Arabidopsis thaliana: one gene and its partners. The protein of the gene in region 1 interacts with the protein of each later gene in a pairwise test. Each region holds a gene or a part of one and is shown in the gene's direction. Other genes may lie near its edges.

Region 1 (3,759 bases):
AATTACTTTAATAGGAAAACCTTAAATTACCTATCTACAAAACGTTTGCCGGTGTGTATCTTATTTTTATTACTTTTGGCATTATCAATCTGCTTTAGGTCAAACCTAAGTTTTGTCCGCTCTAAAGACAAAACTCATGTACAGCGCATGTAGACAGGAACCAAAAACTATTATATTTATGATTAACTCACTAAGATATAATATATTCATATAACTGGACAAATAAAGAAAAATCAATTCGGTGACAGCTAAAATCCTAATTCAAACAATCAACCAAAAACGTACCTAACGACACAATCTATGCGAAGAAGTTTTGTGAACCAACTTGGTTTCTTCCTCTTTCCTATTTCTTTGTGTAATTTACCCCAAAAAATGCGGATTACTCGTTTTGTGTACTCGATTCCTTAAAAACAGTTTTGTTGTATTTTTCCATCCCACAATTTGGCTATACACCTAATTAATTAGCCCATAATTCTGTTATAGATAACTTGTTGGCAAATGATTTTTAATTATATTATATACCCGAGCCAAAAAAAAAAAAAAAAAAACAGATATCAAAAACATCGCCAACTCAGATTCCAAAAATTTAAACGTTATGAAAAGATAGAATCCATATAAGAGAAATAGACGTGAAATTTTTTGAATTTATGAATAGAAAAACAATAAGGTGGTAAAAACAAAATTGTAAAACCATATTTCTAGGAATAAATACATTACCTTGTGAAAACGAAAAATTAGATTTTTGGATACTGGATAACCAAAGTCCAAAACTTAAAGTACATTGCTTTGCGATATCAGTCTTATGTAGGAATTATTTCTGTAGGTTCAGTTCAAGTAGCCTCCCAATAATACGCCATCTAAAGCATCCATGCTGGTTAAATTGCTGCAATAATGACTAACTTTGCATGCTATGTCCATCTCCATTGTCAACTTTTTTCTATGTGGCATGATGCAAATTATCTTTTTTGCACTTAAGTAATTTTTGGAGATGTCTGATAGACACGGATATGGAGAACTGTTTATAAAAAAGTGCATGCGGATCTAAAATCTATTTGTCGCATTGTAATTGGTAAATATACTTCGTAGCTGAATTTACTCCCAAACAAACATATTGTATTGTTCTTCCTTCCAGTAAAACTTGACTATATTTCTAAAACATTAACAAAAAACGAATAAATAACAAAAAAGCTCATCATTTATATGATAAAAAAAAACGTTATATTTATTATGAAAAGATTTAAAAGCTTATCATTTATGTAATTATATTTAACAAAGAAAAAAAATTAGAAAAATTATCAAACAAACCAAGACTCAAAGTTATTTATTTATTTTTCTTTTGCAAAATAATATTTTATGCATTTGTTAAATGTTAAAAAACCCAAAAAAAACTTCAACTAATTTTTATTTGGACGTTTAATACCCAATTGTTTTTGGTTGGAAAGTAAATACACGAAGTAATAAAACCGTGCAATTTAATACACAAACAAGTAATTGTTGTTATTTTCATACTCACGATCTCACAATAAAAATTAATATCATATTATCATAAACTAAAATATTAATAAAATTAATTTTTATTCAAAATTATAAAATTAATATCATATTATCAAAAAAAAAATAGTTAATTGAGATGGTAAGGATAAATTGCAATTTTATTTTTGTTGTGAGATCGTGAGTATGAAAATAACAACAATTAATTATTTGTGTATTAAATTGTACGATTTTATTATTTCGTGTATTTATCTTCCAACAAAAAATAATTGGGTATTAAACGTCCAAATAAAAATTAATTGAGATCTTTTTTGGGTTTTTTCCCTTTGTTAAATACCATATTAACTTCATTTTCATAAATATATTTTAAAAATTTCCTTGTTTTTTGGCCGTTTCGTATAATGTGGTCCACCACCTATTGACCAATGCTTAAAAAAACTAAATAATTGTGACAAAAAATAATAAAAAGAACAAAAAATTACTTGAGATTGTCAATGACGTGAACCATGACTAGTTGATCAACAAGAAGACGGCCACGTTGAAAGCTTTGAATTACAGCTATACATTTAACAAATACATACACTATCATGTTTCCGTAACTGTACTTACGTGAACACTTATTTATAGTACAAAGACGTGTTTTGTTTTCGCCCAAACCAACTCGCTTTTTTTCTATTTTCTCCTAATTCGTCTTCGCTTCTTTCCCTACCAAAACACAATTCTTATCTCTACAAGAATAAGAGAAGATCTGTAGATTTTAAACACCATTTCTGATTTCTACGGCTGCAAAATTTCAAAATCGTCAGGTTAGTGTTTTATTCCATTTCTCCATTTTTTTGTTTTTGGATTCGTAGTTAACAAAGTTCATTACATCACAAACAACATTTTTGTGAATCCTTTCTTGAGAACATGCATAGGCTACATGCGATTCTTGATTTTCTTTTATATGACCTTAGGGTTCTTATTACGAACTAATAAATTTATTAATTGATTTTTCTTTTCTTTTTTTTTTCTCCTCGTTCTTTCTTTCTTAAACCCAAATTGATTCCAGAAACCAAAAATTACCTTACTAAACCCCAAATGCCAATTTAGCTGTGAACCAATGTGATGTAAAATTTACAAAGATTCCTGGTTTACTAATACTAGTACATGTATGTGATTTTTATATGTTCAAACCGGTTTTCACAAGCGATGGAACATGAACAATAGCGTTTAAACGCGTAAATATTCATAAGCGTTGTTGGCCGGTCGAGCCATAACTTTGAAGTGGACCCGATGAGTTGATGGGCACATAGCACCACACCATCCATTTAAGATCTTTTGCTATTTTGTTTTTTTCTTCTAAAGTTTTTTTCTTGTACAGCCAAAAAGAAAGGAAAAAGAAATATATATATATATATATAATTTTATTTCTGTTGTTAATAGGAGTTTTTGTTTCGTTAATTAAAACCAATTTAGTTAGCTTTTTATATATTTAATTTCCTAATTATGGGAGTCTTGATTTTACCTACGACTTTTTGAAACAGCGATGTTTTAGATTGGTTTAGCTTTGATCATTGACGTGGAACATCGCAATAAAGGGTTTATTAATGCAGTTCTAAAATTACAGTTTTGTTGGTTTTCTAAAATTATAGTTTCTCTTAAACAAATATTCAAAGAATTTACTCCACTCAAAGTCAGAAACCAAAAGGAAAGCTTAAAATTCGAAAACGAAAAAAATAGAGAAAACTGTATTTATTCTATTCTTTGTGCTTTCTTGTTTTTCTATTTATGATTGTTGTTTGATTTGAGGAGAATTCTCAAAGGCGCCCAAATGCACACTAGTATTTATAGGTTTTAAGTGCAATTGTTTTGGATAAACAAACAATAGTGGCCTTCTTTTTTCTTTCTAGCCGATAACATGCATCATTTTCCAATAAATATAGGGTAAGTGACTAAGTATAGTCTAATTCTATACAGCTGGGAAACCAGCTTAGTGGCAACACCACTAGACTTTGCAAAATGTATATTAGGTATGATGTTTAAATGTGGAGAATTTAGGTCAGATTTATTTAATTATCGGCCTAATTAAACCACTAGATTTTATTAGTTTATGATTTTAGAAAATATAAATCCCAAATTCATTTTCCAAACCATGTTATAGAGCAATTGCGAAGGGAATAGGTAAAATTCTAATGAATCAAGAACTCGCTAGAAGTCCTTTTACTGTGAATAATATATATTTTGTTTTCCTTCGCATATGCTTTCAACAATCTAAAAAAATTATAT
Region 2 (3,759 bases), on another chromosome or scaffold:
TAATTTTAATTTTCTTTTTGAATTTTTTTTTGGTCAACGCCGGTCAACACTAGTCAGTGCCGGAGTCAACTGACCGGTTTACCGGAATTGTATGTTTATGGTGTTAACTACATGACGTCCTATACTTCATATACGTGGTTATGGAATACATCTATTTCGTGTAGCTGGATATACAATAGTATAGTTGGTATGTGTGACCATGTATTCTCTTATACTTCGTGTAGCTAGCAATCTTTTTTCCTTTAGTAAATTACTATGCATAATAGTAAGTTTACTAAATGAACAATTGATTATGCAATAAATCATATGAAACACAAAATATATATATGGTGCTTACTAGCTTATCAAACACATAGTAGATATGGAGCTTACTATCTTATTCAAACTTATAGTAAGTTTTTGCACAACTCACATATATATATTTACTAGTTTATCAAACTTATAATAAGTTTTTGCACAACTATATATATATATATAGAGCATACTAGCTTATCAAACTCATAATATATTTAGAGTTTACTAGTTTATCAAACTCACTAGCTTATCACACTTACTAGCTTATCAAACTTAAGAAGTGGCAACACAACAAAATTAAGTTCAAATCATATCTTTTATTTAAATTTGTTTTTTCATGGCTTTAAATAACATTGTAAATAGCTCTCATTATCCCAAGAAAAAACAAACTTATCTTTCTCTCATGAGTAATCAACAACTTCTAGTCATCATCGCAAAGGAAAATTCAATATTATACAAGGCCCAATCAAAGCCTTCGTAGCGGCGAATTAAAGAGATCGATACTATTTTTTTAGAGTATATATACTAACTAACCTTTGACAACAAAAGAATAAAGAGAATAACCATAGATAAAAAGTATGAGAGAGAAAATAACTTTTACACCTCATTTATGACACTTTTACCCTAACTAAACCAAACCGTACATTAATTTTTTATTTCTCCGAAACCATCATCACCTTCTCCATAACCATCTCCATCACAATAACCACCACAAGCTCTAGTAAATCATTTGACTATAGCCGTTCACGGTGTTGGTTTTCATCAATTTGGTGGTTCAACCATTGAGCTCTTCCATTTATTTGGTCTATATAGGATTTACCTATTTCCGATATCGTTTCTTTTTAGAATCTGAGATTTGCTTTCACCCTCAAAAGTTTAAGATTTTCTTTCAATGTTATGTTATCATTTCATATATCATGTTACTTTTATATTAGGCATGTATTTTGTCTAAAAGCAGTGTATTTATTTGACATGATCTGCACTTTTTAAATAATTCATGTCCTCTATTGTAATCACGTATCTTATTCCTACCCATCCAAACAATAAGATATGTTTCTTTTGAATAATGCATGTTCATTTTATATTAGACATGCATTTTCTAAAAATACATGGTATTATATAAAAGATCTACACCTTTTAAATATTTCATGTTCTCTACTGTAATATTATTCATACCTATCCGAACAATAAGATGTATTTCTTCTGAATAATGCATGTTCCTTTTATAATTGTCATGTATTGTTTTAATAAAATATTAATTCATTTAGATACTATGTTGTCTGTAAATAATTCATGTTTTTTATTCAGATGTTAATCAACTCTGATTTATTATCACTGGCATTATTGTAGAAACAAGAAAATAGAAAGATATTTTTTAGTATTTATTCTACTTTAAAAAATGTTATTTATCTAAATTTTCTGACAAAAAATTATTTTTTTAATTTTGTTTAATTTTATGGTTATTTTTTATCATTAACCTTTTTTTTATATCAGCTGTAATGGAAAAATATATCAAAGTAATATTGACACTATTTTTTTTTTGAAATTAAAAATAATATTGACACTTGACAGTTCGAAATTCAATACTTTTCTAATTATAAATGGAATATTCTGTACCCGTCCAATAAAACAAGGAATTTTTCCGTTCCAGAACAAATATTCGAAATTTTTTTACCATAAAATTCCTTTGAAAAATGTAAGTCAAATTTAATTTATTTTAAATATAATTAATTTATTGTGGATATTTTATTTTCAGCAAATTGACAAAGACAAAAGACAATTTACTTAAACAGTTCTATCTATTACACTCAGAAATTGACGCGACTGATAGATAATTCCAATTCCAGTCAAACAAAACCTTCACAACTCAATTATTCTTCCGATTTTGGTTTCTCTCTTCCAATCATCCTTCAAGCTCATCTTTTTCTTCTACCCAATAACGAAAGTCTCCTCCTTTACTAATGGGTTGCTTCAGCAGTAAACACCGGAAAACTCAAAACGACGGCGGAGAAAAATCAATCCCGATCAATCCAGTTCAAACCCATGTAGTCCCCGAGCATCGTAAACCTCAAACCCCAACACCAAAACCCATGACTCAACCAATCCATCAGCAGATTTCAACACCGTCTTCAAATCCAGTCTCAGTTCGAGATCCAGATACGATTTTAGGTAAACCATTCGAAGACATCAGGAAATTTTACAGCTTGGGGAAAGAATTAGGTCGAGGTCAATTTGGGATTACGTATATGTGTAAAGAGATTGGTACTGGTAACACTTATGCTTGCAAATCGATTCTTAAGAGGAAGCTAATTAGTAAGCAAGATAAAGAAGATGTGAAGAGAGAGATTCAGATAATGCAGTATTTGTCTGGACAACCTAACATTGTTGAGATCAAAGGTGCTTATGAAGATAGACAATCTATACATTTGGTTATGGAGTTGTGTGCTGGTGGTGAGTTGTTTGATAGGATTATAGCTCAAGGTCATTACTCTGAGAGAGCTGCTGCTGGTATCATTAGGTCTATTGTCAATGTTGTTCAGATTTGTCATTTTATGGGTGTGGTTCATCGAGATCTCAAGCCTGAGAATTTCTTGCTTTCGAGTAAAGAGGAGAATGCTATGCTTAAAGCTACTGATTTCGGTTTGTCCGTCTTCATCGAAGAAGGTTAGCTAGAGACTCAATATAGCCTTTTTTGGTCTTTGGTTTTGGATTGTTAGTGTTTGGAATCTATAAGCTTGTCTAGTCTCTTTAGTGTCAAAGATTAAGAGTTTGGTAGTTCATTGCATTGTGATCTCTAGCTTGAGTACTTCTTGTTTTCGAGTAACAGTGAGAGTGTCATGGTCAAAACAATTGATTTTGTGTTTTCTCTGTTCATTGAAGATTGATCATATTCTTTGGTATTTAAGATCTGCACTTTTTTTTTCCGTTGATCATGAGCTAGATTGTTGTCTTATGTTCCAATGCATAGGGATGAGACTCAAGACACTTTAGTACCGAGAATCGAGTTTATCTTGTCTTTTGTACACATCTTTATGATATTGTCAAGTATGTAATTTTCATTAGTTTGATTCTTATGTTAATATGCTTCATGATATGTCTGTGAAACCAACAAATGCAGGAAAAGTTTACCGGGATATAGTTGGGAGTGCTTACTACGTTGCTCCAGAAGTATTAAGGCGAAGTTACGGAAAAGAAATCGACATTTGGAGTGCAGGTGTCATTTTATACATCCTACTCAGCGGTGTACCTCCTTTTTGGGCCGGTAAAAGACCTTTAAGCTAACCAAATTCATTGATTTGTTTTCTTCTTGAGGTGTGATCTATATTCATATGTTATATTTTAGAAAATGAGAAAGGAATATTCGATGAGGTCATAAAAGGCGAAATTGATTTTGTAAGTGAGCCATGGCCTTCTATATCTGAAAGCGCGAAAGATCTTGTTAGGAAGATGCTAACCAAAGACCCG
Region 3 (3,759 bases), on another chromosome or scaffold:
CAGTGATTGCTGAATCGAGACAAGAGATACTGAAAGGCGTCAATTTGGTTGTCTACGAAGGAGAGGTGCGTATTAATCAATGCAATTTTATGGTTAAGACTTGAAATTTAATTTGCAGAAAGCTTTGCCTGGTAGTGCTGTCTCATTATATGATAAAGTTTTGAGTTTGATATCATAACTTGTGAATTCTATTTGTGTGGATTTGTTTTGCATTGCTGCCGATTGTAATCCATGGCTTCTTTTGTGGTTGCTAATAGGTTCACGCAGTGATGGGGAAGAACGGTTCAGGAAAGAGCACGTTTTCGAAGGTGAACATTTTATTTGTATATCTTGTATCTCAGGATTAACATTGATGCTGCAGAGTATTGTTCTCTTTCTGTTTGTTATCTTAGTGAGAGTCTTATTATTTGTAGGTTCTTGTTGGTCATCCCGATTATGAAGTGACGGGAGGGAGTATTGTGTTTAAAGGGCAGAATCTACTTGATATGGAACCAGAGGATAGATCTCTTGCCGGTCTCTTTATGAGTTTCCAGTCCCCAGTTGAGATCCCTGGTGTTAGCAATATGGATTTCTTGAATATGGCATTCAATGCTCGGAAAAGAAAGCTTGGTCAGCCAGAGCTTGATCCAATCCAGGTGCCTTATCGAATTAAATGACTTGGATTTGGTTTGCACTGTTTCTTACTTGTTGTTGTTTGCTAAATGGTCCCAATTGTAGAACTGTCTATGTATTATGTCTTACTGATATCACATGGCTCATGCAGTTCTACAGCCACTTGGTATCAAAACTCGAAGTTGTGAATATGAAGACCGATTTTCTCAACAGAAATGTCAATGAAGGATTTAGTGGTGGTGAAAGGAAACGCAATGAGATTCTACAGTTAGCGGTAATGGTTCTGCTTCCCTTGTTTCTCAGTATCCATAAGGACTGCATATGATAAGAAACAAATGTGATTAGAGAAGGTAGTGGATTACTAAGCTTGTTCCATGCTACAGTGTGCAAAACCACAAGGCTAATAGTTAGGAATTTCAGGATATCTGGGTAGATTAGCTTAAGCAGTTACAGGTTTTACCATAAGTAGACGCGGTTATTGCATGGCAGTTAGTATTCTATTACAAGTATTTGACTGCAGTTTTAGCTAAAAAGACATGGCATGTTATATGTCTTCATATCTCTTTATATTTTCCTGATCTTGAAATATCTGCCTCCCAAGGAGTGGTCATTTCTGGTTTATCGATAACATGAGAACACTATTAGTCTCCTATTCTTTGTAAGCAATATATGGAAAGAGGTCATGGAAGTACGCTAATGCAACGTTTTCCTGTCCTTGCAGGTCCTTGGAGCTGAGTTGGCTATACTGGACGAGATTGATTCAGGGTTGGATGTTGATGCTCTTCAAGATGTGGCAAAGGCGGTGAACGGGCTTTTGACACCAAAAAACTCTGTTCTGATGATAACGCACTACCAACGCCTACTTGACTACATCAAACCAACTCTCATACATATCATGGTGAGCATTGTTGCCAAACCAGCCTTCTTTACTGGCTACACAATGATCATATATATTTTGGTAAGCTCATGTATGTTTCCTTGGGTTTCAGGAGAATGGGAGAATCATTAAAACCGGAGACAACTCCTTGGCCAAACTACTGGAAAAGGAAGGCTACAAAGCGATATCCGGTTAGTTATCGCGGATCATACATATAACCTGTCTTCCTTCTTTGAGAGACCATGGTTATTATATGGGACAAATACAATGGAAGCTAAAGCTGATGATTGGAAACTGAAATCTATCACTACAATCTTTGACCCGTAGTTTTGGTTTGCAATTTGCATGACAAACTACTTTATTGGGATGTGAACAGTATTCCACACCTTTTTGTAACTAACAAGTTTAAAATTCAGTTAATAAATTTTGTTATTATAAATGCTCTTATAAAGTTTGAGACTTTAAGTGGATCAAATCCAATCAAACCTAGTGGTTACTTACATTACTTGAGAAATTTGACAAAATAAAATTTAATTTGATTATTCTATCGCCTGCTGCTGCTGGAACGAGTTGGTAATAGAAAACAAATTCATAATTTATGACAAGAAGAACGCAAAATTCGCTGATGATTATTAAACCCAAACGCGTTTTTCAAACTCGTTCAATCAATTTCCTTCATCATCTTCATCTTCTTCGTAATTGACTTATCGAACAAGATTACACCTCCCTTTAGCTTTTTATGCAAATGTAGTGCTTTTAAGCATTCTCTCGATTTCCCTCCCTTATTTTCCGACAAATACCAAACCAATATTGTTCCTTTTCTTTTCAATCCCAGATCGATCTCTTTGTTTTCAGACAATTTCTGTTGTCTGGATTCGGTTCATTGCATCGTTCTTTGTGTTGGGTTCGTTTAAACTTTCGATTTTCCCATTTTGAAAATTTTGATTTTTTTCTTGTGGCAGATTGATTGTTGTTGTGCAAGATTCATCCGTTGCATCGACCCGAGTAGGGTTTTTGCTTGTTCCATCGGTGTTCGGAGTTTTTAAAATCATTGCCTGATCCGGAGTGATCAAATCCTATATATTGTCGTTGCACAAGAGAACCAAGTCTTAGATTATAAAGAGATTTGACTTTCACTTTTAGTGTCTATGATCATTAGGAATGAGATCAGATCAGGTCAATTTGTGTTCTTTTGATCAGATCTTGATGTGGAAAGCTTGATGCTGTTGATTATAAGTAGAGAGATATTTTGATGGGTAATGCTTGCGTTGGACCAAACATTTCTGGAAATGGTTTCTTGCAAACTGTTACGGCTGCAATGTGGAGGCCACGGATCGGAGCTGAGCAAGCTTCTTCTTCTTCCCATGGTAATGGACAAGTTTCTAAAGAAGCAGCTTCAGAACCAGCTACTGATCAAGTCCAGAATAAACCCCCTGAGCCTATCACAATGCCAAGCTCAAAGACCAATCCCGAAACTAAACTGAAACCCGATCTAGAGATCCAACCTGAAGAAAAGAAGGAGAAAGTTCTTGCAGAAGAAACCAAGCAGAAAGTTGTTCCTGAAGAAAGTAAGCAGGAAGTTCCTCCTGAAGAAAGTAAGCGGGAAGTTGTTGTGCAGCCGGAGTCAGCAAAACCAGAAACAAAGTCTGAATCCAAGCCAGAGACAACAAAACCAGAAACAACGTCTGAAACCAAGCCAGAGACGAAAGCTGAACCTCAGAAGCCTAAACATATGAGGAGAGTGTCCAGTGCAGGGCTTAGAACTGAGTCAGTGTTGCAGAGGAAAACTGAAAACTTTAAGGAGTTCTATTCATTAGGGAGGAAACTTGGACAAGGGCAATTTGGGACGACGTTTTTATGCCTTGAGAAAGGTACTGGGAACGAATATGCGTGCAAGTCGATTTCCAAGAGGAAGCTTTTGACTGATGAGGATGTTGAAGATGTGAGAAGAGAGATTCAGATAATGCATCACTTGGCTGGTCATCCGAATGTTATATCTATTAAAGGTGCTTATGAGGATGTTGTTGCGGTACATCTTGTGATGGAGTTGTGTTCGGGTGGCGAGCTTTTTGATAGAATTATTCAACGTGGACATTACACTGAGAGGAAAGCTGCTGAGCTTGCGAGAACCATTGTTGGGGTTTTAGAGGCTTGTCACTCTCTTGGTGTTATGCATCGGGACCTCAAGCCAGAGAATTTTCTATTTGTTAGTAGAGAGGAAGATTCCCTGTTGAAAACGATCGACTTTGGACTCTCAATGTTCTTTAAGC

Evidence for each region.
Region 2: the proteins of SLAH3 (region 1) and CPK21 interact in a protein complementation assay, tested with the Arabidopsis thaliana proteins (2 studies listed by BioGRID, with this or other methods).
Region 3: the proteins of SLAH3 (region 1) and CPK2 interact in a protein complementation assay, tested with the Arabidopsis thaliana proteins (one study listed by BioGRID).

The regions. Positions count from the first base shown.
Region 1 is NC_003076.8:8,121,166-8,124,924, reverse strand, and holds the start of SLAH3 (SLAC1 homologue 3), read left to right. Parts: upstream 1-2,010; 5' UTR 2,011-2,297; intron 2,298-3,759. UniProt on the Arabidopsis thaliana protein: Slow, weak voltage-dependent S-type anion efflux channel involved in maintenance of anion homeostasis. Binds to the highly selective inward-rectifying potassium channel KAT1 and inhibits its activity.
Region 2 is NC_003075.7:2,396,128-2,399,886, reverse strand, and holds the start of CPK21 (calcium-dependent protein kinase 21), read left to right. Parts: upstream 1-2,127; 5' UTR 2,128-2,255; coding exon 2,256-2,958; intron 2,959-3,412; coding exon 3,413-3,556; intron 3,557-3,637; coding exon 3,638-3,759. UniProt on the Arabidopsis thaliana protein: May play a role in signal transduction pathways that involve calcium as a second messenger. Mediates the phosphorylation and activation of the S-type anion efflux channel SLAC1.
Region 3 is NC_003074.8:3,333,251-3,337,009, reverse strand, and holds the start of CPK2 (calmodulin-domain protein kinase cdpk), read left to right. Parts: upstream 1-2,023; 5' UTR 2,024-2,741; coding exon 2,742-3,759. Other genes in the region: NAP7 (non-intrinsic ABC protein 7), read left to right, coding at 1-65, 258-308, 414-635, 764-886, 1,334-1,510, 1,602-1,685. UniProt on the Arabidopsis thaliana protein: May play a role in signal transduction pathways that involve calcium as a second messenger.